4 linked regions of the Lonchura striata genome follow. The protein of the gene in region 1 binds, or shares a complex with, the protein of each later gene. Links are inferred from orthologs where the notes say so. Each region holds a gene or a part of one and is shown on either strand. Other genes may lie near its edges. The genes, in order: TXNL4A, LSM5, PRPF4 and LSM7.

Evidence for each region.
Region 2: TXNL4A (region 1) and LSM5 share a complex: the UniProt entries of both Homo sapiens proteins name them as parts of the precatalytic spliceosome. The link is inferred for Lonchura striata from reciprocal best matches to the Homo sapiens genes TXNL4A and LSM5.
Region 3: TXNL4A (region 1) and PRPF4 share a complex: the UniProt entries of both Homo sapiens proteins name them as parts of the precatalytic spliceosome. The link is inferred for Lonchura striata from reciprocal best matches to the Homo sapiens genes TXNL4A and PRPF4.
Region 4: TXNL4A (region 1) and LSM7 share a complex: the UniProt entries of both Homo sapiens proteins name them as parts of the precatalytic spliceosome. The link is inferred for Lonchura striata from reciprocal best matches to the Homo sapiens genes TXNL4A and LSM7.

What each region holds. Positions count from the first base shown.
Region 1 is NC_134603.1:84,666,518-84,673,612, reverse strand, and holds the start of TXNL4A (thioredoxin-like protein 4A), read right to left. Parts: upstream 3,013-7,095; 5' UTR 2,979-3,012; coding exon 2,840-2,978; intron 2,669-2,839; coding exon 2,496-2,668; intron 1,212-2,495; exon of another isoform or gene 1,136-1,211; intron 1-1,135. UniProt on the Homo sapiens protein: Plays a role in pre-mRNA splicing as component of the U5 snRNP and U4/U6-U5 tri-snRNP complexes that are involved in spliceosome assembly, and as component of the precatalytic spliceosome (spliceosome B complex).
Region 2 is NC_134642.1:57,672,733-57,680,184, forward strand, and holds the start of LSM5 (U6 snRNA-associated Sm-like protein LSm5), read left to right. Parts: upstream 1-4,438; 5' UTR 4,439-4,496; coding exon 4,497-4,542; intron 4,543-4,960; coding exon 4,961-5,056; intron 5,057-5,282; coding exon 5,283-5,310; intron 5,311-5,916; coding exon 5,917-5,989; intron 5,990-6,907; coding exon 6,908-6,940; 3' UTR 6,941-7,452. UniProt on the Homo sapiens protein: Plays a role in pre-mRNA splicing as component of the U4/U6-U5 tri-snRNP complex that is involved in spliceosome assembly, and as component of the precatalytic spliceosome (spliceosome B complex).
Region 3 is NC_134624.1:4,700,068-4,707,950, reverse strand, and holds the start of PRPF4 (U4/U6 small nuclear ribonucleoprotein Prp4), read right to left. Parts: upstream 3,003-7,883; 5' UTR 2,835-3,002; coding exon 2,784-2,834; intron 2,156-2,783; coding exon 1,978-2,155; intron 1,697-1,977; coding exon 1,510-1,696; intron 969-1,509; coding exon 881-968; intron 158-880; coding exon 78-157; intron 1-77. Other genes in the region: anaphase-promoting complex subunit CDC26, read left to right, coding at 3,625-3,705, 3,772-3,951. UniProt on the Homo sapiens protein: Plays a role in pre-mRNA splicing as component of the U4/U6-U5 tri-snRNP complex that is involved in spliceosome assembly, and as component of the precatalytic spliceosome (spliceosome B complex).
Region 4 is NC_134630.1:1,560,403-1,568,341, reverse strand, and holds the start of LSM7 (U6 snRNA-associated Sm-like protein LSm7), read right to left. Parts: upstream 3,007-7,939; 5' UTR 2,956-3,006; coding exon 2,914-2,955; intron 2,491-2,913; coding exon 2,400-2,490; intron 1,207-2,399; coding exon 1,135-1,206; intron 1-1,134. Other genes in the region: SPPL2B (signal peptide peptidase-like 2B), read left to right, coding at 3,117-3,173. UniProt on the Homo sapiens protein: Plays a role in pre-mRNA splicing as component of the U4/U6-U5 tri-snRNP complex that is involved in spliceosome assembly, and as component of the precatalytic spliceosome (spliceosome B complex).

The sequences.
Region 1 (7,095 bases):
AGAACACTACTTTATGGACAAATAATTCATAGGAAGAAAATACAGAAACTGAGACTAGCATTTGCAACAAATGACTGAATTGAAGGTGGCTGGCAGACTTGCATTACTGAACTGAACAGAGCAAGTACAAACCCAAAAGTCTGTACTGACAATATTTATTTGATTTTTTTTTCCTTGCTAATTGTGCTGTAACTCTAGGTATAAACTTCTAGGGGAACACAGAAAGACATTGTACTGCCAAGAGCAGTGCTGACAGCTAATAATTTTGAAAACTACAGACATCAGTAAATGGATTAACTTTGCTCAGCTTTTCATTACAAACAACCGTAGCTAAAATACCTATATGTTTCTTTCATAACTGCCTCTTTCTCCACCCCACCTTCTTCTCCTCTTTCACTTTTCATGTAACCTTACCAGAAATGCAGAGGCACAACTAATGTTTGAGAACAAGCCACAGCTATTCACACTTCTGATAATGGTTAAATAAATACACATTTTAAAAATCCTCCCTAAACCCACACTGATCCAATACAACAGTTACCTGATTTATATTCAGTAATAGATAAATCCTTTCTTAAACAAGGTGTTTTAATCTAGCAAACCAATCTTTGTATTTTAAGGGATAGGTTTTTATGAGTTCCCTGTAAAGAAAATATAAAAGTGTATTTTTAGAAAAGGTGTTTAAGGCAAAATTTGTGAACTCAATTCGTGTTTCAATCAATGTTTGATTGAAACCCTGACAAAGCAAAAAAAAAAAATTCTAACATCTTACAATTATGATTTGTTTTGACATTCAGTGAAACCTTGCTTCTTTTTCATGTAACTCTAGGGGAAAAACCCAGTCAGCTCCAAGTGGAGTACATTTCAGGGAAAACAATCTACTTTGTACTTTAACATAGCATTCTAGTTTCTTTTCCTGTGAAAACTGAAAAGAAAACCTTGTTCTCCTATCATAAAGTACAGATAAATATTACTGCTACCCAAAAACATGCTGCAGCCTAAAAGAATATTGCACCAGGGTAACAAGTGTAAAATACAGCCACATTGTTTTCAAATTTAGCCTGCAATTATAGCACGTTAACATTCTGTATTATTCTCTAGAATAAACACCTGTACAATTGGAACTTTTACTCACTCTTTAAAACAGCAGAGATCCAAACATGGCTTGTAAGCAAGAAGATGAGGTAGGATCTCCCCCTTTAATCTGCCATTTCTGCAGAGGGAGATTTTTAAATAAGAAGTTACTCTGTTCTTTCTTCCCCCAGTCACCCCTAGCTGCCAGCAGGTCTGCCAAATTGCCAAGCATCCCACCATACTAACAGTAAGTTAGTACTGTAAGTCCATACTAACAGTATCTGAGCATAACACTCCCACCAGGCTGAATACAAAACAACTGTATTAAAACATGTCACAACTCTTTACGGCATTCTAATACATCTTAACCCCTGGCTGTGGGTGTAGATTTTTAATTGTGGGGACTTTCAAGTTATTTTAAAAAAGTTCAAAGGCAAAATAAACCACAAAAACAACTCCATGTCAATCTATGCAGCATGCACAGAATTTTCTATGAAAGCAGTGAAGTTGTGGATGCCCCATTCCTAGCAGTGTTCAAGGCCAGGCTGGATGGGGCCCTGAGCAACTTGGTCTAGTGTAAGACACAGCAGAAGAGCTGGAATGAGATCTTTAAGGTCCCCTCTAACTCAAACCATTCTATGATAGCTGGCACTTTTTCCTACCCAAGTTATGTTTCTAATTCAGATTTTTTTACTTCTTTCTTCATGTGGTTCAGTTAAAGACCTGTCAATATTCTACATCTACTGCTTCGCAAATCCTTTAGCAAATATATAAAAAGGTAAATTATAGCTGATTGTGTATTCTAATTTTTCCTATCTATCTATCTATCTATCTTTCTTAAGTGACCAGATGTTTATAATCATTCAGTTTCCATCTGAAAACAGCTGTGGAGTTCAGCTCTAAAAAATTAATTCAGTCCATGTAACTCAGTGGAATGCTACTGGTGTCCATGGATAACATCACTGACAGATTAATCAGAATTATATGAATGACAGATTAATCAACACCATCCTGCACATTTTAGCACCTCACCGCTTTTAAGAGCCAAAATGAAAGTAAATTTTCAAGTCACTCAGATAGAAACCTGAAGGTATCACACATTTCCACTGTAAAGTGAGACTGCTGGGTTACTTGGAGCCGCAGTAGCACTGTTTCTGCCTGAATGCCGATGGCAGCTCAGTGACGGGTTATTAACAGGCAGCAATCTCCATTTCCGAACATCTACGATGCTCTTTTCACCCCCCAGAACACTGCAAACATCAGGGCAGTCTTTAGGAGACACTCATGAAAGTGTAACCACACAGCTTTCCCGCTGCCACCTAAAGCTGGAATACCTGTGCGGAATCCCAGTTATAAGCTGCCCCAGTCTCCAAGCAAGCCATAGGGAACACTGAGCTCAGGAGCAGAAAGCTCCCGTTTACCTTCTCGGCGATGCTGTACAGGACCTCATCCATCTTCATGCACGTGGGGTCCCAGTCGTGCCCGAAGCGGATGACCACGACCCGGTCCTCCTCCGACAGGATGGCCTGGTCGACCTGCCACCCATTGTGCAAGTGCGGCAGCATGTACGACATCCTGGCGGCCGGCTGGGAGCCTGCGGGACGGCAGGGATACACATGGAGCCGACAGCCCGGGCCCTCCCGGGGCGCCGGCGGGCGCCGAGCGCCAGCACCGAGTGCCGCCCACCCCACGCGGCCCGCCCGTCCCGCCGCGGCCCGTCTATCCCGCCGCGGCCCGTGCCCATCGCAGCCCGTCCCCAGCGCACCCCGCGGGCGCCCTTCCCTCAGAGACGGAGCGGCGGCAGCGCCGGCACGGGCGGGAAGCGGAAGGGCGGGCACGGGGCTGCGCGCGCACTCGCGCGGAGGCACACACACACACACACACACACAGACACACACACACATGCGCACGCGCACAGACACGCGCACACGCACACACGCGCACACACACACACACGCACACGCGCACACACGCGCACACACGCACACGCACACACGCTTCCGGGCGCGCTCCCCACGGGAGGAGACCCCGTCAGGGACACCCGCGTCCCGCCGCGTCCCCACGCGCAGGTGGGAGGTGGAGCCGTGCCGTGGGGATTGGTGATGCCGGCTAGCACGGAGAGGATTAAACAGAGGTGATCAGGGCCCCGATCTCCTACGCTGTGCTGCTGACCTCTGATTGTTAGTACATTCTCCTGTGCCTCCATGGGATTTGACCAAGGAGATATGCTCAGAGAAGCTGTGGATGCCCTATTCCTGGAAGAGTCCAAGGCCAGGTTGGACGAGCAGCCTGGTGTAGCGAAAGGTGTCCGTGCCCATAGCAGAGGAGCTGGGTCCAGATGCTCTTTAAGGTCCGTTCCAGCCCAACCATGCTGTGATTCTATGCTATTGCATCTCTTGGCTGTGGAAGGTTTTCTCAGTGTATTCACCCACAGCATGACAATTTCCATACCCCCAGTGTCGGCCCTGCCGTGGCAGCTGCACTGCCAGCCACTCCGATACTGGCGGTGGGGTTCCATGAGGTCTCCCGCCGCTCCAGTAATCAAAATACCACTACCGGATCACTGCGCAAACGTTCCAGTGGAAGTGGTCAGCAGCAAAACCAGCACATTCCAGCACTGGTTTCTACAATCGAGCTGGCCATTGGCATAGGCCATCCCAGACCAATCTGTTTCCTTAATTCCACAGCAGACACTAATTTGAAAGGTTAGCTTGCAGCAGGCAGGGACAAAAGTATCGTTTTCACTATAAAAATTCCCCACAAGGTGCAGCTTGGGCTGTGGTGAGCAATGTGATTTGGTGACAAATAGCTTTGCCCAACAATGCTGAGCTCTCCAAAAACTATCCAAGTCCTCCAAGTCTCGCTTTGTCGCCTTTTTAGGACGTGCGGGCACAGGAGAAGGAGAGGGAGAGGAGAGACAGTCCGATCTGGCTGTAGCCACGGGCAGAGGCAGCGGGGGCGGTGATCCCCGTGCCGGAGCTTCCCTGGGAGTCGCCAGCCCCGGCGCCGGCAGTGCCCGGGCAGGGCTGGGTTAAACGAGCGGGGCTGGGCAGGAGCGCCTGTGCCCGGCCCGGAGCGGGGCCGTGAGCTCCTGGCTCTGCCCGCTGCCGCGGGACCGAGCTGTGAAAGGCACGTCAGAAAAAACAGCCCCGCTGGGTGCTTTGGTTGTCCCTCAGGTATAGCAAGTCTTCTTCTTCAGAAAAGTTAGTGGGAGGAATTGATCCCGGATAACACAAGCTGTTAACTTTAATTGAAAACTGAGTTAGGAAAATTTATGTAGGTTTATTTTGTTATGATTTAAGTCCAAGGTGATACAGCAGTGCCAACCAACAAATTTGAGAGTAAGGAGTGCGTCAAGCTCCACAGATGAAATAAGGCAACTTCAATTAGTGCTGAAGTTAATACTTACATATATTTGCCCCGTTGTCTTAATCGAAGTCATATTTTCAAAGTTTTCTCTGCAATGCCAGGACCAGAACTTACTACACTTACCTTACATAAATCATTTGATATAAGGTAAATGTAGTAAGTTCTGGTCCTGCCATTGATTATGTGATTATGAGATTATGACTGTTTACCTACATGGAAGCATGTAGGTAAACAGTCCTATGTAAATACAAACGGAGAAGAGTCAACTTAAAAAAAAAAAAAAAAAAAAAAAAAGGGAAAAAAAAAGGAACTTAGTGATACTGCAGATGGTACTAGTCCAAAACCAAAAATGTCATATCCTTGACAGCTGTTAAATTTAGCACACTGGACAAGACATCTGATAACTGAATAATTATGTTCAGGAGCAAAGCATCAAGTCTTTCAAAACTGATTCCCTTGATGTTTGGCCAGTCAAATTTGACGTACGAATTTATTAATCCAGTTGTTATTCTTGTGTACATCGCTGTCGCAGAAGTGTCATTTACAAATAGAGCTACAGGATGTGCCCACATAGTGATGGAAGACAAACAATAAGCATTGGGACCAAGGTTGGTATCTGGAGAGCCCCCTTCCTTCTTTGAGGTTCCTTTAAGTGTTTTTTGTTTCCTGCTATCAGTGTAATTTTTTAAGATTGTATCTGGGGCAAGCAGAAGACGCAGTTGTTGTTGAACCAGTGCTGAAGGCAGTGAATGGGTCATGCATGCATCAAACAGCTGGAATGGTGGGCTCAGCGTGCTCACACACATTGAAAGATCCATCAACATGCCACTAGCCTGCTTCTAGTGCACCAGCTGGTTTGTTTATAGCTAGAGGCTTCCTCATGGGTCACCTTTCTGCTTCTGAAGTGTAGGAAAGGCTTCCAAAGTGAAAGCAAGTCTGGCTCTGCCCATCATGTGTGGTGTATTGCAATGGGTAGCGGTTGGTGATGAAAGCAGATGGAATAATACAGTGCTGCCTCATTGGCATCTACCAGTCACTTGGTCCTGTCTGACGCCCAGTTTTCCCTGCTTAACAGCAGAAGGTTTAACTGCCCTCCAGGATTACCAGATTCCGATCATTTATGAAGCTGGACAATGCCATCACAATATGACATCAACTCCTCTTTTATTCTATGCATAATTCATTCTGCAATACAAATCTAGTTTATTCTAGTAATGTTGTATGATACTCTTAAGAAATGCAGACTGCATCTGGGGAAATTTGCAATTTTGACAACTACATGTGGCTGACAACTTCAGCTGGTAAAAAAAATATTAGATGTATATAAAAACATGATCTTTGCAATTTGGTTGCACTGTTCACCTCCTTGCTTTGTTTGCTGTAGTTGAAAACCAGATACTATTATCAGAGATATTGTGGTGAACTGCAGACCTGCCCCTTCAAGCCCATGTACAAAGCAGACTGAAACTGAAGCAGAAAAGCACATCAAGGCCAGGATAAAACAGCAGTACTGGTGCTGAGCTTGTAACCATTTAATCGATGTGGTTGGGATAAGTATGAGTTTGCTCAGGGCAATGGTTGACAAAACCTTCCAACCTACACTTACACTTTTTTGTCACAGGTTTGAGTTCTGATTACTCACAGAAGGCTTTTGTGAGAGGAGTGAAGCAATAGGACACAGCTGACCAGCACTGTGTGCCCAGAATAAAGTAGCATACTGCTGTGGAAAATTGTTCTGATTCAAGTAGCAAAACATCAGATTTCCTGGACACAAGTCTAGGAGATAGAATGGGATGGAGATCAAAAGTCAGTGGAGCACAGCAAAAATAATTGTAGGAAATTAGGCACAGCTATTATTAAGATATGCAGGAAATCTTCAACTACCACTTTTGCCAATAGGAGCTCCAATTAGATGTTTGGTTGTGTGTGGAGCCCCTATCTTATTGCAGAGTGCATTTGCAGGAGTGTTGTAGAGAGGACTGGGCTCAAAACTCTCAGGGCAGAGGAAAGTTCTAGCATGAAGGACTGTGTTATCAGTGGTATCTCCTCTAGTGCTCTTCCTCACTGGTTCAGCACATAGGTGTGTTAAATTTTGCATGAGGTAAGTTCAGGTAGAGATTGGAATGTTTAAAGCACTGAAGGCAAGCAGCCTAACAGCTATCCAAGAGTGGCCCTTCATTGTGCAAATTTGTTAGATGTAAACCATCTTTGGCCGATATTTGTCAGACCTATCTGGGCCTCAGTGCCACCCTACATTGCCTGTGGCTTCACCAACCACAGCCAACAGGCAAGAAACTTTGAGTAAATTTCTAGCAGCCTGTTTCATAGCACTGCTTATAGAAAGGCATTGGTGAGTAAGCTACCAGAAAAGCTACTAGTTTTGTATGAAATCAATATTGATTCAGGAGTAACATGAAACTCTGAGAAGAACAGTTTGTAGTACTGGATTTGGATGTAAGAGTGTGGGTATTCCTTGGTGTTATAGTCTAAATCAGCTCTTGGTAAAAGTACTTGGAAGTTGTCTGACATACCACGCTAGTACCAAGTGACTGTGGATTAAAAACACTATTGAGTTCCATTTGTTTTCTGACCTACTCATGTGAATTTAAGTGATAACTTTTAAAGGAACATCATTGCTTCTTTCAGGGTGTT
Region 2 (7,452 bases), on another chromosome or scaffold:
TCAACCAGATGTGGACACCTAGATGGTGGTACAAGATGGGCAGAAGAAACAGGTGCATTTGAACAGGTATTTCCTTTCCTCATGATAAACACTACTTCCTTTTATTGTGGATTTGGAGCAACAAAGGTTCTTTTTTCACCATTCTGCAGACTAGGCAGTGGATCTGAGGAGGGCAAATCCTTCTGTCTCAAGTTCCTCATTGAACTTGTAAAAATAATTCCAAGGTAATACTTGAGTCGGGCTATAGAACAAGACTCTCAACTCATCACAACTTCCAGACTCCAGGACAGCACAGAAACCGTTCTACCCACCTTGTGAAACCTAATAACCCATAGTCTTGTTCTTGTTTATGCTTTCAGCGCAGCTAGGCCTGCATGGCTGGGATCATAGATTAAGTCACTGGGAAGTGAAAGTGAAGGCACAGGGTAGCCAGGGAAGAGCGATAGGGAGAAGGGAAGTGGAGCAGTTTGCTTCCCAGCACTTTGCCATGCCTATGGGAATGTGGAGTATCTTTGAGTCCATGGTGATTGATGATTGTTCAAAACTCTTGCACAATGTCTAGTTCTAGTCTTGAGGTGTAGTTGTAGAGGTTGAAACAATCTAAATGACAGAAGACAGTACTGGACAACCTGTCTGAGTGTGGTGCTGCGCTCCAGGGATGCCTTAAAGCAGAGCAGGTGGCTGCTCCTTAATTCCAGCTCCTCAAAAGAAACCATTGATTTGGAAAGTTTATTTTTATTTATGTTTCCCTTCCAATTTGGCTGATTGGCTGTCAGGATTTTTCCTTCATATCTTCATTTCCAAAAACTGCTTTCAGGAAACACCCAGTCATTGGTTTCTAACATTAATACTGCATGACAGCAAGTGAATGCAAAGAGTGATCTGCTATTTTTGCTGCCAACACTGAGAAACTTTCAAGGACAGAAGAAACTGTTGCTAGATGGCTTAATGAAACAAGGTCTGTGAGATAACACAGTGTGACAGCAAACTCCTGAAGCTGGGTACTCTGAGCATATCTTTACACTTTCTAGACCAATAAATAATACTTCCTGTGCTCTACCAGGTACTCTGAGTAAAGACAGGATTCCATAGTTTTTATGTAGCTCTGACTTTGAGTTCCACATACGTTCCTTTGCCCCTTCCCCTCAGAATAAGTGTATATATTGAAGCTGGCTTGGGTGTTTCAAAACTACAATGCCCTTGCCATAGTTTTGCCTGCCCTGTGGCTGGGCTGCAAGACTTCTGCTGTGAGATTATTGCACTGCATTTGGGACCCAAATGGAAGATGATGTTTTTCCATGTCAGTAGCCTAAAGAGAAAGACTTCAGTGTCATTCCAGAAAGTGGAGAAAGACAGCAAACAGATCACTCTGGCAGTTTTGCGTAGAGTGGCTGGGCAGATAGGGAACACAGTGTAGAGGCTGCAAGGCCAGATCTTTCCCAAACCCAGGCAGAAGTAAAGGAGTAACTGAGCAGCACTGGAAACCACAAAGAGGGAAAATGCTGTGGCCATTTGCACAGGTAAGGTGTGGAGCTGAAGGGACAGGACAACAGAAGTTAATTAGCTGAATTGGTAGAACTACAGAAGTTCAGTCAACAGAAGATTTCCCCAGATGGCACATGCAGGCATTTAAGAAGGCAGAGATTCCCTCAAAGGTCAGCATTGCAGGAGTCGGAATTACTTCATGAGGGATAGTTTCCTACCAGTGGCTATGGGGCAAGAATCTGCTGCTTGTGTGGAAAGGATATTTGTTTTCTCAGCTGGAGAGCTCTCCAAATGGCAGCAGCTGAGACAAATGCAGACACCTTCAGGAGAGTAGCAGGGCAGTAGCAGTCCTCTGAAACTTATATTCTCCTCAGGTGGCCCAAGTTTTCTAGGCAAGAGAGCAAAGATTGCAGTGCACCTTGGAGGAGCAAGGAACATAAAGAACAGCAAGGAGCAACTTGATGCTGTCAGAAAATTCTGTTACAGACCTGGGTACCTGTGCTTTTAATTAAAAGAATTAAAAGAAAATTAAATTAAATTAAATGAGAGGCAGCTGCTGGGCACAAAGGCTTTATGCAACATCAAGGTGAGAGGCTCCAGGGTCACAAATTGGTATTTTGATCCATCTCTGTTCCATTGATGCTGGTCAATGGAAGGGGCCAAGTTTCAGCTGTCAGAGGTAGCTGAGGATGAGGATGTTGCACTCTATGCAACACTGTCAATTGCATGCACGAAGACAGGAATATACAGAAATCCAGAGTCTTAGTGTCCAAATGAGATGCAGAGAACAAGGACTTAGGTTCATGGAGCACTAGGAAGCCTTCTGAGACAAGAGGAGTCTGAACAAGAGGAAAAAGCTGCACTTTGATCTTAAGAGAGGAAGGCTTTTGGGCCTAAAAATTCAAAAGCTCCCAGAGGAATATTTAAAGTAGAAGCTGGGGGAAAGCAAACAGGCATAGAAGAGCATGTAGTGTAGACTGATGTGATGTTAAAAAGTGGATACATCTAGGGTTCAATGCCTCTTGGGAAAAAACAGAAAGAAAATTAAAATAAAAATTGCAATAAGCAAGTCAGACCATTAATGCCAGTTAATTTTCACATGCAAAATTAAATGTTGGTGTCAGGGCAAACCTGGCACATCCTTGAATGGAGCCTGGAGAACGAAATTAGGGATGCTGAAATGGTTACCTTCAAAGAACAGTAATAATGGCCATCACAAGAACTGGGATATGGACGATCAATAGTATTCAGTGTTACTTTGCTGATAGTTTCATGGCGAGGAAGGAGTCAGTGCCCTCCTTCCCCTCTGCAAAGCTCTGGCCAATGCCCTCCTACCTCCCAGCACCAGCAGAATACTCCCCATGTCCACTGAGTGCTCTTCTGCTCCTGTGAGAGTACTGCCTGGGCCTTCACGGCCCATTCCCACTGGCACAACTCCTGTGATGCCATCTGGTGCCTGTGCCCAGCAGGACAGGAGCAGGTGGATAAGAGGTGAGTGCCAGTGACTCCAGTGTCCACAGTTTCAGTGAGCACCTCCTTCTCTGAATAGGGTTGGGGGCTTCCTGTGATGCAGAGTGATAGCCAGTGGCCCCCATGTGCAGCATTCCCCATGCCCAGGAGGCCCAGAGGGCTGTCTCTGCCCCCTGTGGCTACTGTGCACAGATGAAGCCAGCTGGGAATGGTGGTGGGATGAAGTTACTGAATGGCTTCAAAAACCTCCCACATGGCCACCTCTAGTGAGTCAACGGACAAATGTGGGGGGTGAAAATCTGCACATAAAACAGAGGGGCCAGCAACAGCAGGCAGTGACTGTTCCCCTGTGCTCAGCACTGGTGAGGCCACACCTCAAATCCTGTGCTCAGCTGTGGGCCTGTTACCAAAAGTCAGTGAAAATAAAAACTCCTTAACACTAATGTAGCATTAAGAAGCCAGCATTCTTTATTCATCTGGATGCATGACGGGATAGGTCCTCCGAAATCTTATTCATGCTGTATTTTACATACATATTGATAGGATTTCCTAGAAGAACCATATATATGAGGATCATTTCCCTGAAGTCATTAACATACGTTCCCTCCCCTCTCTCCATGTGCTCTGTCCTGGGGGTCTCTTTGGTAATCCCTGGTGGTCAGGGACACCAAAGTCACAGCTGATGGCTTATTGAACTGGTAAAAGTTGGCACAACTGGGCTGGCTGCTTTCCAATTCTTCTTCCTACAGAATAAGCATTGTGCAGTTCCATAGGTCAATGGTTTTTGAAGAATAAGCGTTGTATTAACCCACCCATTGTGCAAACAATTCTTCATCTGGCAATAGGCCCTTCTCTGCAAGAAGGATATTGAGGTGCTGGAGTGAATCCAGAGGAGGGCAACTGGAGCTCGAGTTCCCCGAGGAGCTGCTGAGGGAGCTGTGTTGTTCAGTGTCAAGAAAAAGAAACCTGGGGGACTCAACACTCTCTACACGTGCCCAAAAACAGGTTGTACACAGAGGCAGGCAGGGGTTGGTGTCCTTCTCCCAGGTAGCAAGTGACAGGACGAGAGGACAGCCTCAAGCTGTGCTGGGGAGGTTTAGGTTGGACATTAGAAAGAATCACAGAGAAGTTGCCCAAGGGGATGGTAAAGTCAGTGTCCCTGGAGTTGTATAAGGAAAGACTGGATGTGGCACTGAGTGCTATGTTTTGGCTGACGTGGTGGGATTCGTGGGAGATCTTTTCCAACCTGCCCGCTCCGTGGTGCCGCAGCAGCTGAGCCATTCCGGCGCACAGCAGACAGCCCGCGGTCCTGGCGCGGGGGCACATCGAAATGGCGGCAGCCCCGCCGGCGCCGCTAGCCTGGGCCGGCAGCACGGGAACGAAGAGGGAAAAGAGGGAGCCCCGCTCGAGTCTCGTCCGTACGCGGAGGCAGCGCAGCCCGCGGCTCCCGGGCCCCGCCTGCACCGGGGGCGGTGCGGCCGCCGGCCCGGCCCCGTCGCTGTGGGCGGAGGCGGCGGCCATTGGCCAGGGCCGGCTCCGAGATGGCGGCGAGCGCGGTGTCCAACCCGTCCCAGCTCCTGCCGCTCGGTAACCACGGGGGATTCCCGGCCCCCGGTCGGGGCCCGGCCCGTGGTCCTTGTGCGGGGGCCGCGGTGGCTGCGGCCCCTCTGGGGAGCCGAGCTGCGCTGGCGCCGGGCGGGGAGCGGGAGCGCCGGGCGGCGGGGCCCGCGCACGGCCCGGGAGGATGGGAGTGGGGGATAGGTGTGGGGGTGTTGGGGTCGGGGGGCTGAGGTGAGGTGTGGGGCTGTGGGACTGTCTGAGGGAGGCCAGTGGGAGTGGGGATGGGTGTAAGGATCGGGGGGGTGGGTGGTTTGTGTGGGAGAGTAGAGGGGGAGTGTGTAAGGTTGTGTGGAATGTGTCTGTGTTTGTGTAAATAAGCAGAAAAAAACCCGTAAGGCACGAAACACTTGCTTTGTAGAACCTATGCTTTTCTGTGTATCTACAGAACTTGTGGACAAGTGCATCGGTTCACGCATTCACATCGTGATGAAAAGCGACAAAGAAATAGTTGGGACACTTCTAGGATTTGATGACTTTGTCAGTATCCTTTGATGGATGTTTAAGTCTGTCTGATTCATGCTCTGGTCTAAGTGATTTATAGCTCTTCAGAGTTTTTAGTTCACTGACTAGAACCTTTTTATATGGATTGGTTGTATTCTGGTATTTTCAACTTTCAGGTAAAATTGCATTTGGCCTAAGATGAAAATAGCATTAATTAGTCTAGTTTTAAAATCTGGGCGTTATTTTCCTTGAAACTGGATTTTCAGATATGGTGCTAGAAGATGTTACAGAATTGTAAGTACGTTTTCTGCCTATTGTTGCTATTTAATGTTTGGTTCACTGAAACAAAACACTATGTAAGGTCTGCTAGAAAAATGTTTCTACATTTATGGAATAATTACCAGCTAACTAGTTTAACATTGGACTTAAAACTATAGAAGGTGATCTGTTCAGGACAGCCATGTCATAGAGTAGCTATTGCGTGGTTTATACTTGTATGGGGATCCTATTTGTAGTCCTAATTATGCATGGGTTGTGTGAGAAACTTTCCAGTACTTAATTTGGTTTTACACTTCTTTAAGACCTAGGCAAATATTCAGCGAGGTAGCTAACTTAAATGTTTTTACTTTATCATATCATGTTGATATGTATATTCAAAAAATTGTCAGCCTGTAGAGGGTGAATACACATCTCCATGTACTGAGTAGAAGAGACCTTTTCAGTTAGCTTTCTGTACCTAGGTGCTCCATTTATCAAGATCATGCTGCAGTGTAGCTGATTTATTTGTTAGTTCCAACCATGGTCACCTTAATGCAGAGATTTCTGTCAGTTCTATGGTCGAATCTGGAGCCATTGTCCCTGGTTCTGTGTTCTTACTTACTCTTTCTAATGCTCCTTCAGTGAGATCACACCTGAGGGCAGAAGAATCACAAAGCTGGACCAGATTCTGCTCAATGGAAATAACATAACTATGGTGAGTCATCAGAGGCTGCGTGTGTTGACTTTCTGTGCCTGTTAATCGACTGGTGATGGTATTCAACTCCTTTAAGCTGAGCTTTCCTGGTAGTTCCGTTACATCAGGAAGTTTAAGTAGCTTATCTGCATAGCTGGCCACAAAGCCTGGACTTCCAATTTTTTTTTGTGGTTAGAGGAGGGCTAAAGTGGAAATATTTGAGTCTAAGTTGGCTCTGTATGAATGAGGAGTTGTCTCCATTGTGTTGTTTTACCCATCTTGCACTTCTCCATTGTGTGTCAGAGCAGGTGCCATCCTGTGTTAATTTCTAAGCCTTTTATCTGCTTTGATGATTGTTCTGCATGTTGAAAGGATAACATATGTTCTGACTCCCTGTATGGTGTGAAATTCCTACCATCCAGTTACACTGGGGTACACTGTGTTGCCCTTGAAAAAGAACCTGCTGAATTTTCAGCAAGACATAGATACATGTCTGCATCAGATCTCATGTCTCTTCTGGGGACATATTTTCCCCATGGAGGAAGTCCATGCTTTAGACTTACTCTTATTTTGATCCCAAAACCAGTGAAGCTCTTTCTCTTTAGAAGTTCTCAGCTGATAATGAAAAAGATATCAGTAAAAGTAGTGGTTAATATTTTTTTTCCCTTCTGTATTTTTTTTTTTTTCTGTTCTTCAGTTCTTTGTTTCCTTTGCAAGGATGTGCTATGCTGATTTAGTCCCTGTTGCATTTTTGGTTTGTGCATCTCGGGAAATAATTGACTTCCTCTGTAGGGAGGGGAGAGTCAAAAAGCCACTTTTGTGGTCTAGCATGAAATCTTCATGTCCTCAAATGTTTGTTGCAAAGTAAGAGCTGTCATGTATGGGTTTGTAAAACTTAACTCTATGGCACTAATGCAAAAATGTCTTACTCTTTTGTAGCTGGTTCCTGGAGGAGAAGGACCTGAAGTATGAAGACATGATATTCAGATGTACTTTATATATATGCAAAATCTAAATAGAGATTTTGGGGTAGAAATGTGTTTGGCTATGGATTGTTTGTTTGCTTTACTTACATGCTTGACATTTTACAAAAGACAGCTCTTTAGGAAAGGTGCTAGTGGTAATGTTGACTTTGTAAGTTGAAATCATTACTTTCTTGTAAAGACCCCTGAACCTCTTCTGAATAAAAGGCTTTTTCTTTGTTGGTTACTGTGTTCTGTCAGGTGAGTGCACTAGTTTGATAATTTTATAACTACTTGATGGAGTAGAAAAATGACAGTTGTGTTTCGGTTGCCATCAGTCTTCATTTTTTCTACATCTGTTGTGTTTGTTTCTGACCTAAAATATAAAAGTCTATATAATACAGAAGTCATGAGCCAGGACATTACTGTGCTTTGGCATACAGGCAGATACTGAACTGGATGTTTTGTTCAAAGTCTGTGTCACTGGAAACCATGTGGCAGAATTCTGTAGAGTTCTGAAAG
Region 3 (7,883 bases), on another chromosome or scaffold:
CTACTCCCTGGATTTCCCGTGCTGCCCACAGTGGGATTTGCACTTGGATTTGACAAATGTTTTCTGTTTTCTCTCACCTGGGGAGTGAGTAGTTGGCCAGCCACAGCCTGGCTGTTTTCAGACTGCGAGGGCCCTCGTGGTACCACGTTTGCTGATACTGTAAAAACAGGAATAAAAGGAATGGAAAAGCCCTGGTGCTGCTGCCCCTGCATTCATTCCCTTCAGCTCCTCCCAGCACCTGCCCCCAAACCCTGCTGTGCTCTGGCCTCTTTTTAAGGGCCTTCTACACAACTGAGCCCCAGGAAAAGGGATTTGGAGAGATAAATCAAACTCTCTGCCCTACAGATCCAATCCTGCCATGCTGCCACTTCTCTCAATGTTCCAGCTGAACCCTGACCCATCTGCATTTACAGACATGTAACTCCCTCCTTGTTTACACATCACCCACTAAAGAGAAAGCCCAGAGCTGCAGAAATTATTTCTTACAGTAAAGCTCAAAAATAATAAGGTAAAAGAGACTCAGGAGACACAAGCAGAAAGAGCAATCAAAGGCAGAAACAGATGCAGCAGAAGGAACATTTTTTTTTTCTTCCCAAGTGTGAAGGAAAGTAAGGGACTTGCTACAGTAGGTAAGAGCCCACACACTGCTCTCCTGGTTTGCACAGTGAATGCAGCACAGAGCAGAGTCTGAGTAAAACCCACACTTGGTGCTCCTCACTGAGACCAACCATTGCCATGGATTTGGTGTAATGGGCAACATGGAAAAAGCCTGAAGGGATACCATGAGAATTCCCAGGCTGGCCAAAGCCAGGAGTGCAGGATATATCAGAGATGGATATAACATCCCTCCCTTCTGTCAGGGGACAGGAGACACCCTTACCTCTTCTTTGGACTTTTTGGACCTGTCATCATCTTTCCGGGTCTTTTTTAACGCGTCTGTGCCGACCACTGAGAGGATGTTCCTTAACCTGGAAGGAGTCATGAAGCTGGATTTAGCCAGTGGATTCTCAGCTCACCTGACAAACATCACTGTGACATTCCTTCTGCCTTAGGGTTCTTACAAGAGAAATCCCAGACTGGTTTGGGCTGGGAGGGACCTTAAAGCTCATCCAGTGCCATGGCAGGGACACCTCCCACTGTCCCAGGCTGCTCTCAGCCCCATCCAACCTGGCCTTGGGCACTGCCAGGGATCCAGGGGCAGCCACAGCTTCTCTGGGCACCCTGTGCCAGGGCCTGCCCACCCTGCCAGGGAACAATTCCCAATTCCCAACATCCCATCCATCCCTGCCCTCTGGCAGTGGGAGCCATTCCCTGTGTCCTGTCCCTCCATCCCTTGTCCCCAATCCCTCTCCAGCTCTCCTGGAGCCCCTTGATGCCCTGGCAGGCTCTGGAGCCTTCCCTTCCCCAGCCTGAACACCCCCAGCTCTGCCAGCTGCCCTGTGGCACAGCAGTGGCACGGCAGGAGGGGCTCAGGGATTTGCAGGGTGGCCATCCCTGCAGACACAGCACCTCTCCCTGCGCTCCGCGGGGCCCTCTCCGAAGAGCGTGATGGGCTCGCCCAGGGCCCGCAGGCAGGCCTTGACCTCGCAGTCGTCCGTGGACACGTTGATCTGCCGGGCGCGCTTGCGGCGCTCGAACTCCGCCAGCACCTCGGCCTGCCGCTCGCTCATGTGGTCCTCCAGGTCAAACACCTCCCCTGGCACACACACACAGCCTGAGCACACGCAGCAGCACGGCCAGGGCCAGCCGGGGAGCTCTGCACATCACCCGCAGCGGGGCCACCCGCAGCAGGTGACACAGCAGGGTGTGGCATGTCCCCAGAGAAGGACGCTGCACCCCTCCCTCAGCCCCTGGAGAGATCCAAGCACGGAGCCTCCCACCCTGACTGCTGTGAGGCGATGCCCAGAGAGCCAGCAGAGGCATTTCAAGTGCCACCTCTGCGGGCAGGGATGACGAGGGGTGTCTGCAGAGCCTCACCGCTGCTGATGTTGATGTTGCCAGCCTCCATGGCAGCCTTCATGGCCTCCTTGGCCAGCAGCCCCGCCTCGCCCTTGGCCAGGCGCTCCCGCTCCTTCTCCTCCAGGCTCCCGTAGAAGATGGGCGCCCGCTTGGCCGGGGCAGCCTCGGCCTCCTCGGGGGGCTTGGCCTTGGGGGGCTGCAGGGAGAGCCAGAGGAGCAGGGGTTGGGACAGGGGGCAGCTAACAGCCTGGCTGTGCCAGAGCCGGCTGTGCCAGGAGAACGGGCACTGTGCACACATACAGCCTCTCGGTGCCACGCCGGCTGGGGATGGAGGCAACTGAAGCCCATCCATCCCACCCTGCCGTGCCAGGGACACCTTCACGGCCCCAGGCTGCTCCAGCCCCGTCCAGCCTGGCCTGGGCACCGCCAGGGCCGGAGCAGCCGCCGGACTTTGAGGTTTTTGCCCGAAGGCCGAAGCACAAGAGCAAAATGCCGCGTTGAAATGCTGCCATCAGGCAGCGTTGGGTGCCTCTTATTTATTATCTGCAGAGGTATGTTTTGAAAAGCTTTGGAACACGGAGCTGTTCGTCCTCCTGCACCGGCACAGCCCGGAGCGGTGCCGCGCCCCAGCCCAAAGCGAGCGGCTCCTCAGGGGAGGCGCCAGGACCGGGTGAGAACGCAGAGCACCGAGCCCTGGGCTCCCCTGAACGGCTCCGGTGTCACCGGAGCACCGCAAATCCCACACAGCAGCAGCAGGCGCGACCGCCGGCGCCGCGGCCGCGCGGGGAACAGGCCCGGGGCCGCCCCCATCTCCGCACACTCACCTCGGGGGGCCGGGCCGCACCGCGCGCCGCCGGAGCCCGCGCGGCGGCCATGGCGGGAGCGGGAACAAGCCCAGGAACGGAAAAGAGCCCGGAAGGGGAGCGGGAACCAGAGAAGGGAACGGGGAGAGACCCGCCGCGCCGGGCTCCAGCGCCTCACGGCCACTTCCGGGCCGCGCGGGGCACGCCGGGAGGCGCGGCGCCCGCTGAGGGCGGGCCGCGCGGGGCACGCCGGGAGGCGCGGCGCCCGCTGAGGGCGGGCCGCGCGGGGCACGCCGGGAGCTGTGGCGGGCGGCCCGCTGAGGGCGGGCCGCGCGGGGCACGCCGGGAGGCGCGGTGCCCGCTGAGGGCGGGCCGCGCGGGGCACGCCGGGAGCTGTGGCGGGCGGCCCGCTGAGGGCGGGCCGCGCGGGGCACGCCGGGAGGCGCGGTGCCCGCTGAGGGCGGGCCGCGCGGGGCACGCCGGGAGAGGCGGTGCCCGCTGAGGGCGGGCCGCGCGGGGCACGCCGGGAGATGAGGTGCCCGCTGAGGGCGGGCCGCGCGGGGCACGCCGGGAGAGGCGGTGCCCGCTGAGGGCGGGCCGCGCGGGGCACGCCGGGAGATGAAGTGTCCGCTGAGGGCGGGCCGCGCGGGGCACGCCGGGAGATGAGGTGCCCGCTGAGGGCGGGCCGCGCGGGGCACGCCGGGAGAGGCGGTGCCCGCTGAGGGCGGGCCGCGCGGGGCACGCCGGGAGATGAAGTGTCCGCTGAGGGCGGGCCGCGCGGGGCACGCCGGGAGCTGTGGCGGGCGGCCCGCTGAGGGCGGAGCGCTCGGTGCCGCCGCGGGTGGCGGCGCCTCTGGCCGCGATGCTCCGTCGGAAGCCGACGCGGCTGGAGCTGAAGCTGGACGACATCGAGGAGTTCGAGAGCGTGCGGAAGGAGCTGGAGGTGCGCGCGGGGCCGGGCGCGGGGGGCTGGGCCCGCCCCCGGCCCTGACCGGCCGTTCGCCCGCAGAGCCGCAGGAAGCAGCGGGACGAGGCGGAGGCGGCGGCGGGCGGCGAGGAGGCGGCGGCGATCGGAGCGCTGGGCACGGAGCACAAGAGCCGCGAGCAGCTCATCAACGAGCGCATCGGGTACAAGCCGCAGCCCAAGGCCGGCGGCCGCGCCGCGCACTTCGGCACCTTCGAGTTCTGACGGGGCAGCCCCGGCCCCGCTGGGCCGCGCCGCCCCCCTCTGAGCTGTTGCATTTTCGCATTTTATGTTTGGTTAACATGGCCGTGATCGCTCCCTTGCCGAGTGTTTTGTTTTAAATAAACACGTATTTTTTTAAAGAAACGAATAATCATCCCACGAGCTGCTGTAAAGGGCTGCAGTGCCCAGGTGGGGTGGAACAGCTCGAGCACCCCGTTCCCTGCTCCTGTGGGCAGGAGGATGAAACTCTGCGGGAGGATCCTCCGGGAAAGTGATCTGCTGATCTAAACCAGACAATGGAGTGTGGCCACCTCAGCCTCCAGCCCTGCCCGCTGGTGGCCCACTGAGGAGAAGGTCCTGGAGGTGTCTGATGAGTGTTTTGGGATAAAGGTGCCACAGTTGTGGGTGCCAGGCACTGCTCTGTCCATTCTCGAGGGAACCAGGAAAGAATTCCCGGTCTGTTCAATCAGCTGGTCCCAAATGCATCCCAGAGCTGCTTCCCCATCCATGTCACAGCTGGGCCCTCAGCAGGGAGTGGCTGCAGACCTGCCGTGGGCTGGGCACATGGATGTGGGATGATAGCCCAGATTTTCTGTTTGAGCAGCTTTTCCTTTGCACCTCCCTGTTCCACCTCCATCCAGCTCTGCTTGGTGCCACCCCAGCTGCCCTTGGAATGGAGCTCAGAGCTGTTTGCTGCTTGGATCAAAGGCCACCAAACAGTTCCTTATGGCTGGTGGTGTTCTGTGAAAAGGCCAAGGGCACATGGATTTCCTCAGCAGGGGCCTGGGCAGGGTGAGGTCAGATCTGATTTAGTGAGAGGAAGGTGTCAGACTCAGGAGGAGTCTGACAGTGGAGGACACTTGACAGGAGTCACACAGTGGGGTGAGCTGAAGGAAGCAACATAAAAACCTGAGCAGCTCCTTGGTGCTCAGGAAACTGCTCTCTGCAGCCTGGGGAAGGAGCAGGGCAGGCTGCCACAGCAGGGAATGCAGGAGCTGGAGGCTCTCCCTGCCTCTGCCCAGGGCTGTGTCCTGCCATCTTCAGCAAAATGACCAGGTCTGGTTTTTCAGCATTCCTCCAAAGTGGACTCCAGTTAAATTCACGCTTCCCGTGTTGTAGGTGCGTCAAATTTCAGGTCAGGCTGGGAAAATGTACAGAACTTCAAACTTTTCCAACTGGGAAGAGCCCCAGAGCAGCCTAGAAAAGAGCTGCTTTTCCTGTCTAACACCACAAACAATGATCAGGGCTTGCTCTGCTGTGCTGGCATTCCCAAGAGGCCCCAGCTGTGAGAGGACAACACCTCAGGAGGTTCTTACATCTCCCTGAAACTCTTCTCCAGGGCAGGCAGATCTGGGAGGCACCAGTTTCTCTTTCCATCCCTCCCCACACCTGCAAAGTGCGACTGAGCTGGAACAAAGACTTCTCAGTGAACCCCATTCCAGCAGCTTCAGGACAAGTTCCTGGGAGCTGGGGAGGCTCAGAGGATGCTGCTCCTCACTCCCCACAGCACCTGAACAGGAACACTGGGCCCTGTGCTCCCTCCAAGGGCTGCCCTGAGACCGTTCCCAAAACACACCCCCAGCACAGTAAAATGCCATCTATTTTATTGGTTAATTATGTACAGGAGATTCTTGATATTCACAGTAACATCAGACAAGTTACCACCACAAAAAGCAAGAGTAAAAACAGAACTGACAGTCCACTGTAAACAAAACTAGAAATCCTGCTGGGTGGTGGGACTGGCTCCAGACAAACTCAAAAGGCACTCAAAGAAAAGCAACAAAAGCCCTCGGAGGGACAGGGCCTGGATGCTCCGAGCTCCCTCGTGGATGAGAATGTGGAGGCTCAGCGTGTGCAGAGCAAACGGGGCACAGAGCCAGGCACAGGATGTCACCCCGAGCAGGGCAGCACAGCCCAGCATGCTGCATGTCTGTCCATGTCTGTCCACACCGGCCCTGCGAGCCCTCCCCCACCGTGCGACCCGGACACCTCTAAATTCAGCAGCGGGGCTGGGGCTGCCCAGAGCTGCCGATCCCGCCCGCAGGGAGCTCAGGCTTTGCTCCGGCTCTGCACGCACAGCCCGGCTGGGAGCACACCGTGCTGGCATCTGGTGGCAGCGGGACGCTGCGACAGGGACGGTCGATGGCTGCTCTGGACTGTCACACTGAACTGGGGACAATCTGAACTGCACAGCCGCGGCAGGAGGAGCAGCCTGGACACGCCTCGTCCCCAGCGGTGCCCCAGGAGCTCGGAGCACAGGGGACACGGCCTCGCCTGCTCCTCTCAGCCACTTCCCCTCTCACCTTCCCTGGGAGCCCAGGGTGCCCTCACCACCCCTCGTGCAGGCTGTGGGAGCTGCTGGGGCACCTGAGACTCGTGCCCAGGTGAGCCCTGCCAGGGCAGTGTCCCCTCCCTGTGCACGCTGGAGAAGCTGTGTGCCCTCTCTGAGCAGAAGGGAAGCTCATTCTGGGGGGAAACAATTCCAGGGGCACAAGTGGTACAAGCAGAATGAGACAGAAAAGCTTAACAAGAACCAGAGTGACACTGCATGAGCCACAGCCTGATCTCCAAGTCATCCCCAGAGAATTCAAGTCTGGCCACTTGGATACACAGAAAAGTGGCTAAAAGGTGACAGCAAGATCAGGCCAAGCAGCTTCTGTTCCAAAGAAAGACACAGCAAGAGGTATATGAGGTGACCAGTGTCACCACAGAGCCGCTCCTCACTCCAGCCTGTGATTGTGATGGCAACAATTCCACCCCCTTCCAGAAAAACCAATGGCAGCAGTGGCAGTGTCACCCTGAGCTCCTGCAGGGGTCAAGCCCTGCAGTGCCAACCTCCCACATCAACACCATCTCCAGCTTTTAACAGCTCTAGTTCTCTCTGACAGACAGATTTCCTCTCAGTTCCAGCAGGAGTGGGAAGGGATTGTTCATTTTCTCTGCCCACACTAACATCCTCCCAGCTCTCCAGGGGTGGGGAGGGTCAGCTGTCCCCTCCCATGATTGCCTGCAGGCACAGCAGAGTTTTACCTTTGTGACAGGTGCAGAAAGGGCACCAGCAGGTTCTGTCACAGACAGAACTCCCTTCAAAGATCAGACTGGGGAAGGAAGGAAGCACTTTTCCTGTCTCTCAGCAGGACACGGCTAGAACTTTTCCATGAAAATAACTTTGCCTCTCTCATCCAGATATGAATTTGCTACAGAAAGCAGCTATATAGGAACCTAAGCCTGTGTTTAACTCAGCTCCTTTTATTCTCTAGTTGCACTGCCCAGAGAAAACAAGATGTCCAAGTAAACACCTGGCATCAGCCCAGGAGGTGCAATTCAAGCCCTGGTAGCAGCAGTTCTGAATTTCCTTACACAGGGTGGGAGAGTGGGCTCTGTGCAGGGACAGCAGCACCAGCACCGTGGAGCACCCAGGTACACAGGGATGGTTTCACTCCCTAAGGCTCAGGGCCTAAAAAATCTCATTCCAAAGATCAGCTTTCCTCACACAGCTGCTGCCAGAAGTTACCAGCAGCATATTCAGGGGAAAAAAACCACCTTCCTGTGTGTGCCCAGAGGCTTTAGCCCGGGCAGGATTCCCTGTTGTCATGGCATGTCCCAGCCACCAGTCCCAGTCTGGAAGTGGTGCCTGTTCTCAGTGCCTTTCCCAAATTCCCACTGTCTTCTCTTCCAGCCAGTTACAGGCACAAACTGGGCAATGTGGATAGAGGGAAGACTCCAGCTTTGCACAACCACCTCCAGCTCTGCACAACCTTTTTAACATCCAGGTGCTAAACCAGAGCTGCTCCCCAAGCCTGGCCTGGCACCAGACAGGCAGGAGGGCGGTTCTGCCCCCTCACAGCCTGTCCTGCCTGGGCACTGGGCAGAGCTCACAGCAGAGTTCTTCACTGTCCCCACTGCACTGAGAACCTGCACCTCCAGCATGGGCA
Region 4 (7,939 bases), on another chromosome or scaffold:
TGTCACCTGCAGACTGAGGATGAACTTGATCCCACTGCCTATGTCACTGATGGACACTAAACAGTACTGGTCCCCACAGAGACCCCTGAGGGACACCCCTGGTCATTGATGTTCACGAGGACATTAGGCTATTGACTACTACCCTCTGGATATGACCATCCAACCAATTCCACATTCACCAAACAGTCCACCCATCAAATCCATTTCCTTCAATTCAGGGAGAAGGATGTTCTGGGGTTTCTCTGGCCACAGAGAACAACAGACAACTTTCCCAGGCCTTTCTGGGAAAAGTCTGTGAGAAGATCAGAGAAAAGAATGAGAAACAATTCTTATCTTGGCTTGCTGCACCTGTTATTGTGAACATGTGGAATGTGTTATGGAGACTTGTTTACCAAAGGGTGATTTCTTAATTAGCCAATGGTGTTTGGATTGGAGGACCAATTAGGTCTAGGTGTATCATAACAGTCTACAAAAGCGATGGGTTTCTTAATAATGATATATATAAAGAGACTGATCAGCCTTCTGTGAATCATGGAGTCAATGCTAATTATTACTTGGTCAGGGGCCTGCTGCTGGGATAGTGGGGGACTGTGTTAAAGGCTTTACAGAAGTACAGAAAAAAAGACATCTGTAAGCCCTTCCCCTGGCCACTGATGGAGTCACTCCATCACAGAAGGCCACTGGGTTGTTCAGACAGGATTTTCCCTTGGTAAAGCCATGGTGGATGTCTAAAATCACTTCCCTGTCCTCCAAATACCTTAGCAGAGCTCCAAGGAGGATCTGTTCCATGATCTTCTCAGGCACAAGAGGTCAGGCTGACAGAACAGTAATTCCCAGGCTCCCTTCTACCCTTTTGAAAAATGGGTTCAATGTTTCCCTTTTTCCCATCACCTGCCTGCCATCACTTTTTAAATGTTTTAGACTAGCTTGGGCACTGTAACAGCCAATTCCCTCAGGAACATGTTGTCAGGTCCCATAGACCCTTCACCTGTATGTCTACAGTTATCCCAAGCATGCTGTAGTTTGGGTGATGTTAATCTGCAGTTTCTGCTTATTCACACACAGAGCTGTAAAATTTCTGTCAAGAAAGCCACTCAGGGAGGGGAAGCTTCCCAAAGATTACATATTACTTACCTCGCATATACTCAATGGTACCATCCAGCACAAGGTTGAGAAGAGGGTCAAACCCTTTCAAGACACCACTTGCTATTGAAGACCACACAGAAAACAATGATTAGGACCAAAACAAGGTATACAGCAACATAAGACTTCAAGAAAGTTACACTGAGTTCTCCAGCCCTGTTCCCTCTTTCAGGCAAGACCAAACATGTGAGTCCAGAGGTATTAAACAGTGTCCTCTTTTTCAATGGCAAGTACACAAAAACTGCTCTGCATTGCACCAATTAAAACTTAGAGACTTTTCAATTCATTCTTCCAAATGTTCTTCAAGACACTAACATGTTTGCTTTCAGTCAATTTCAAGGGCATTTTAAGAATACGATATAACAAATCAGTATAAGTCACACAAAGAAAAAAAAGGCAACTACAAAACAAAATAAATATCCTTAATGAAAGGTTATGGTTAAAAACAAAACAAGACCATATTTTAAGTTCTTTCCTCAGAAACCCCATCTTCCAGATGCTCTTCTGGCACATGATGTCTTTAACATAAGCACTGCCTCACAGGAAGGCACTGCAGATAGACCAGCACTTTGTCCTAATGGAGAACTTGATTCCACAAGACTAGTCACTACATATATTACAAAATTACACCGAGCAACTTCCCAGTTTGACAAATACACTTCTCAGTAAGGAGTTCAAGTAACTTCCAAACCCTTATAAGCATAAGGTCCCAGTGGAGTTTTAAAATGCAGCACATGGTAAGCTTGGACCAACAAGTGCCTGTGGGTAGCACCAACTGCATTGGGATGTACCTGCCCAACTGGGAAGAGATGGGAATGCAAAGGCACAGTGGCATATATTGAACCACGAACTCCAGGCATGCTTACCATGTCAAGAGATGAAAGGCACGACAGTTGTATTAATTACTACATCCATAAATGTTTCTTTGTTCCTTTAAGTGCATCCTTGCAATGCCAAAAAAAAAAAAAAAACAAAAACCCAGCCAAAATAAGGCTGTTCAAAACAACCAATAAAAGAAGAGATGCACAGATGAGCCATAAGGATAAAGGTGCACCCAGAAGATGAGTGAAATAGTTAAACGAGAGAAGCTTTGCACCGGTAACTGCAAATTCTAATAAGTAAAAGCACTCACTACTCCTCCGCTTCCCTTGATGGGAAAGCGGCATGAGCAGGAGGGCAGAGTCGACAGGCATCGGCTGAGGGAAAACGCCGAAAGGCGAAAAGAGCTCCGTGCTGCAGCCACGCGCCGGGCTCACCTTCCCGCCCGCCCTGGAACTTCACCCGGATCGTCTTGTCGATGTACTTGGAGAGGTCCAAGATGCTCTCCTTCTTCTTCTTCTCCTTATCCTACGGCAGAGCACAGGCAGCCCAGTTAAAACGCGCCATCCACGGAAACACGGACCCAGATCGCTGCCGCGGGATTCCGCGGCGGCAGGACGGGGGCGCGGGTACACACCGGGCACCGCCGCCGAGCACCGCACCGCCGAGCCCCGCACACGCCGCCGCCGAGCCCCGCACACGCCGCCGCCGAGCCCCGCGCACACGCCGAGCCCCGCACCGCCGCCGCCGAGCCCCGCACACGCCGCCGAGCCCCGCACACGCCGCCGAGCCCCGCACACGCCGAGCCCCGCACCGCCGCCGCCGAGCCCCGCACACGCCGAGCCCCGCACACGCCGCCGTCGAGCCCCGCACACGCCGCCGTCGAGCCCCGCACACGCCGCCGAGCCCCGCACACGCCGCCGCCGAGCCCCGCCCCGCCCCGCTCCTCACCGCCATCTTCCCCGCACCGCCGCCGCCGCCGCCGCTCGCCATTTCATTCGGCACCGCCAGAAGTGACGTCGCGCCCCGCCGGAGCCCGTTGGCGGCTCGGGGCGCTGAGGCGGGACGTCCGGGGCGGGCTCTGGGTGCCCGGTACGGAAGGGTCCGGCCCGGCCCAGGTCGGAACAAAGCGGCGGCGGCGAGGCAGGCCCGGCATGGCAGCGCAGCCGGCCTGGCTCCGCCTCTGGCTGCTCCTGCATCTGCTGCCGCAGGTCAGTGGCTGTGCCGGGCTGTGCCGGGCTGTGCCGGGCTGTGTGCTCCCGAGCCACGCGCGGGCAGCCGGCTGAGGGCGGGGGGCAGCCGGGCCCGGGCGGGCCGTGCGCCGTGGCCGTGCCCGGAGCCGCCTGCCGTGGGCGCGCAGAGGTGCTGCAGCCGCCCGCAGCGGGCCGGGCCCGAGCCGTGGCCGCAGGAAGGCAGCGGAGCGCATGGGTCTGCTGGCCCTGCCCTCGGCGATTTGGCAGTATTGATTCTGTGTGTCTGGGCTTCTCTGAAACTTTTTTACTCTTTCCGCATTAACTAGCGTTTTCCTCGTAGTTCCCAAAACTTCGGGGCCAGGCAAAGCCCAGCATCCTCGCCAGGCAGCCCTAGGCAGGAGAGCGCAGCCGAGCCCCCGGGCCGGATCCTCGCAGGGACGATTTGTTTTATCCTGACTGACAGACTCCCTGTGAGGAAGCTTTCAGCAGAAAAGAAGGGATTTCTGCTGACAGTGACTCTGTAGTCTGTCTTGGGTCTTTTATTATCATTACTAAAATATTAATTCGTTTTGTGGATACATTTTTAAGGGTGTGAGAACTAGGCATGATACTAGGCATGAATCCTGATACAGGAGAGAGTGGATTTCTAGCAATTGCATTGCATGGTGCATAGCTTTTGCCTTTTAAGTTAATTGGTTTGTGTTCTCAAAATTTTTAACTGTCATTTAAACTTCTTGACTGTTTATTAGACAATTTGGAGTGTGCTATGGCTTCTTGAATATTATTGGTGTAACATGGAACTCTAATTTTTCCTTCTTCTCCCTCTGTCTCCTTACTGTTTCCTTGCCAGTAATCTTTAGTTACAGAGTGGTCTGGTTGTCAGCTAACTTCTTTATTTCTGTATCATCCCCTTTTTTATCCATTCTCTTCATTACGCTCTTGCGTGCCCCATGCTTTTTGTCATCTCCACTGATGCTTTGCAGGGATTAGTAGTGGCCGTATAGGCCCGACAAATTAATAAGCTTTAATTAACAAGATTAATTTAATTAATGAATTAACAAAAATGAGTCAAAGACTGGCATGGAGTCAGTTTGATCCATCAGTTTGGGGAAGGTGAGCATATGGCAGCGCAGAAAGACAGCGGTGAGATAGTCCACCGGTGGGTACTTGGAGGTCTTGCGTTCAGCTCCATGCATTGCAGCACATTCCTGTCTGTAAACATTTGGTATATTTGTGCAGTGTAAGTGTTAATGTACTTGAATAAGCTTGGGCAGACTGGCCAGGGTGCTGAAACAGTCCTGCTGCTGCAGTGAAAAGTGGATTTACTGTGTACTGCCAGTATGCTTCTGTTAGCCAAGCTAGTGTTTTAAAAATTTGCTTGATTACCTTGTATTGTGCATAACTTCTGCATCTCTTGTGCTTGCACTTGTTGGGATGGCTTGAGTGGTACATCCTCCTTAGTGTGAGGCAGAGAAGAGTGCTCTGCTGCACTAGTCCTGGTTTGGTACCCCTGTGACTGATGGCTGGAGTTATTCTGGGGGACAGAGTTGACAGCTGTTGTCAGGAGCTGCTGTGTGCCAGCTTTACTCATTCTTAGTGCCTTACTCTTGCCTTAGTGAGCATATACCTTTGTCTCTCTCCTTGAAACAGGATATTAGGAATGTTTTGTTTATTTGTTTTCCCTGGGGCAAGAGGAGGTAGTGTCCACATATGCGTCTATCTTCTTATTTTGGGAGAAGGATCAGCTTGGTTACTGAGGCATGACTCTTCCAAATCTGGGTCCTCATCTGGGAACACTTTAAGAATGGTGTGTTCTTATAGATCCAAGGACAGTCTGCACTTAGATCTTGCTTTGGTATTCGAGTTCTCACATTTCATTTAAGTTCCCATTCATTCCAGGCATTGTTACCCCTCAGTTTCCTGTAACAACAGCAGATATGTGAGCCTTTGACTAGTGATGAACATAGTAATATGATCTGCAGCAAATGTGTTGGATCTAGCTGGCCTTCACTATAGCAGCTTTCAGAAGAATATGTTGAATTGTGGTGATGGGTTTGTATTTTAAATTAGGGCACTCTGATATGGGTCCAAAGAATTTGAAAGTCTGTCTGAAATTCTGCATTAAGGTGGTAGCTGATAATTTAGTCTTCTGGTATTAGTGCATTATGAATATGTAGCTCTCTGCACTGTACAGTGTTTGTTGAAGGAGTGTTTATTTGTGTGCAGCTTTGCTGTCTGCTGTTGCTTTTCTCCAGATGGGTCAGTGCAGTTAATGGGACAGAATGACTCCAGCTCCTGGGAACTCTGGCATGGTACCTACCGTAAGAGTAGGATAGCTCATTCATTCCTTCTTCAAGGAACACAGCTCCCAATGTCTGAGATATGAGTGGCCAGGTCAGTTAATAGAGCTACTGAAAGCAGAAAAGGACATCCACGTGAGTGTGGGGCCAGAGGCAGGGAGGAACAAACAAGACAGATACTGAGTTGGCTCAGTCACTCATGCTGAAGTTTCTTGAAATACTGGTGAGCTGAATTCTTTCTCTCCGCCTTCTTCTATCATTCAGCTTGCAAGTCCAGTGCTTGCCTCTGAAATACATTAATTCACCTAAAAAAAATTGCACAGCAGAAAAACTGGGGAGCATTCTTCTCTTTTATGCATTGATCTGTGGAAGGCCCTGATGAGATTTAGAGCTAACAAGTATGCCCTTCTATTACCACAAACATTAGATTAGCTCGTTTGTCTGTTAAATTCTGCCCTCAGATTTTACATTTCTGTTGTGTGAAAACCTTTTCCAGTTTTGCAGCTTTATAGAAAACACTTCCTTTTGTGTTAATTATACACTATTGTGTGCTTTTTAAGCCATGGGATCAAGATGCAAGTATTATAATATACCTTATTTTCACAGCAGCTGTTGTTTTTCTGTGTTTGAAAAAGACTGCACTTGGTATCCAAGCACTTGGAAAAGAGCCTTTTGGGGTTGTAGGCACATTATATAGGATCTGCACAGGAGATGGCATTTTCTCCTGGGTTAATCTAGGATATGAAGTGGTCTCTAGAAATAAGGAATCATAAATGTTGCCACTATGCCAGTGCAACAGCAGCACTGCTTGAACTTTTGTTGTCTCATACCTACTGACATTAATAAAAACAAAACTGGATGCATCAAAGTGGATAAGAACAAACTTCAGAACTATGCTTTGCTTCTAAGTGATAATAGCTTTATAAAAATGCCTGTTAATCCACATTATCCACAGACTGTGTTCTCCACAGAGTTTCTTAAATTCTGTGTTCCCCCTTTTGCTTTTAGCCCTGCTCATATTTCCTTTAATTCCTCTCATGCTTGACTTTCATTTAGCTTTTGGCACACAAATCCAAATAGCTTCTAAAATGTGTTGAGCACTTAACACTAGGAACCTTTTACTCCCTTAATATTTCTTTGAAGAATGTCCATTAAATAGCTCAGAAAGCAAAATTGTGTATAATTGAACATTCTTTTGTTCTTGTCTTTCGTGTGTGACTGTATTTGCATCTCTGTTGCTTGTTACTCTTCAAAATCAAATTCAAGATAATAAGTACAGGTTACTTTTCTAAATTACTTGTTTCTGTTGAAAGTAGTTTAGGTGCTATGGTTGGATACCTGAGATATGACTTAACAAGTCTGCTATAGCACGGAGTTGGAGTTCTTGTTTCCTCACAGTGTATGCACAGTAGTGTCTCTCTGTCTCCACAGATATCTTGGAAATTTGCCCTGTGCTCAAGTGGCTTTAATCTGCACTGAACTAATCAGTGACCTCCTATATCAGCATGTTCAGGACAAATGTCATTGGTTCTAAAGGACTTAGTTAATACTAGTGTTATAAAAGAGGGAAAAAGTTGCTGCATATGTTAACAAAGACCATTTATATGCAGAAGAGCTAAATATAAAAATTCTCTTATATTAAATCTCTACCTCCTGTATATTTTTACAATAATATTTCTTTACTGCATTGCTGACATCTTGCAGCAGAATGCCATCATTGCCTCTGGGCATACTGTGTGTGTTAAAAGAGTGATTTTACAATGCAAGTGGTAAAACACTGACACAGGGTAAAACACTGGTAGAACACACAACTCACTGTGTCCAGCGAGGAGGTGGGTGCCCCATCCCTGAAAATGTTCAAGGCCAGGTTGAACAGGGTTTGGTATACTTGAAGATTTCCCAGCCCATTGCCAGGGGTTTGGACAAGGTGACCTTTAAGGGTCCCTTCCAACCTAAACCAGTCTGTGATTCTCAGAAGTTTTTCTAAAAACATCTTTTACCCTGAGTGTCTCCTAGGGGTGCATGGTAACTTCTGTGTAGTACGGTTTGAAATAAAGAAGGATAAATAAGTGTGATGAATTCTTTTAATGGATTTTTGAACGAGCAGGTTAAGATAAGACATTGTTGCCGAGTCCAGTCATCTTTAGCATCTTGTTCCTCAGCTGGTATATGAAGAAACAGATGTATAAAGTGTATTTGTGAGAGCGTAACTGCATAATTATCAAATCATTGGTGTGTTCACGTTACGAATATTAAACCAGATATTGACAAATTAGTCTGCCACAATGTTCTAATTAGTAGCAGCAATGGTTAGGGATATGATGTTATATTTCTCTACAGAACAAAGTTTAATCAGTTCTGGTAAGCACTAAGTGATTTTCTTGGGGAAGGCTAAAGCAGAGCAATAGACCATTTAAACATATCTTCAGTCAATTACTTCAATTTTGCTTGAGTGCTGGACAAAAGAGAGAAGGAAGAATGGAA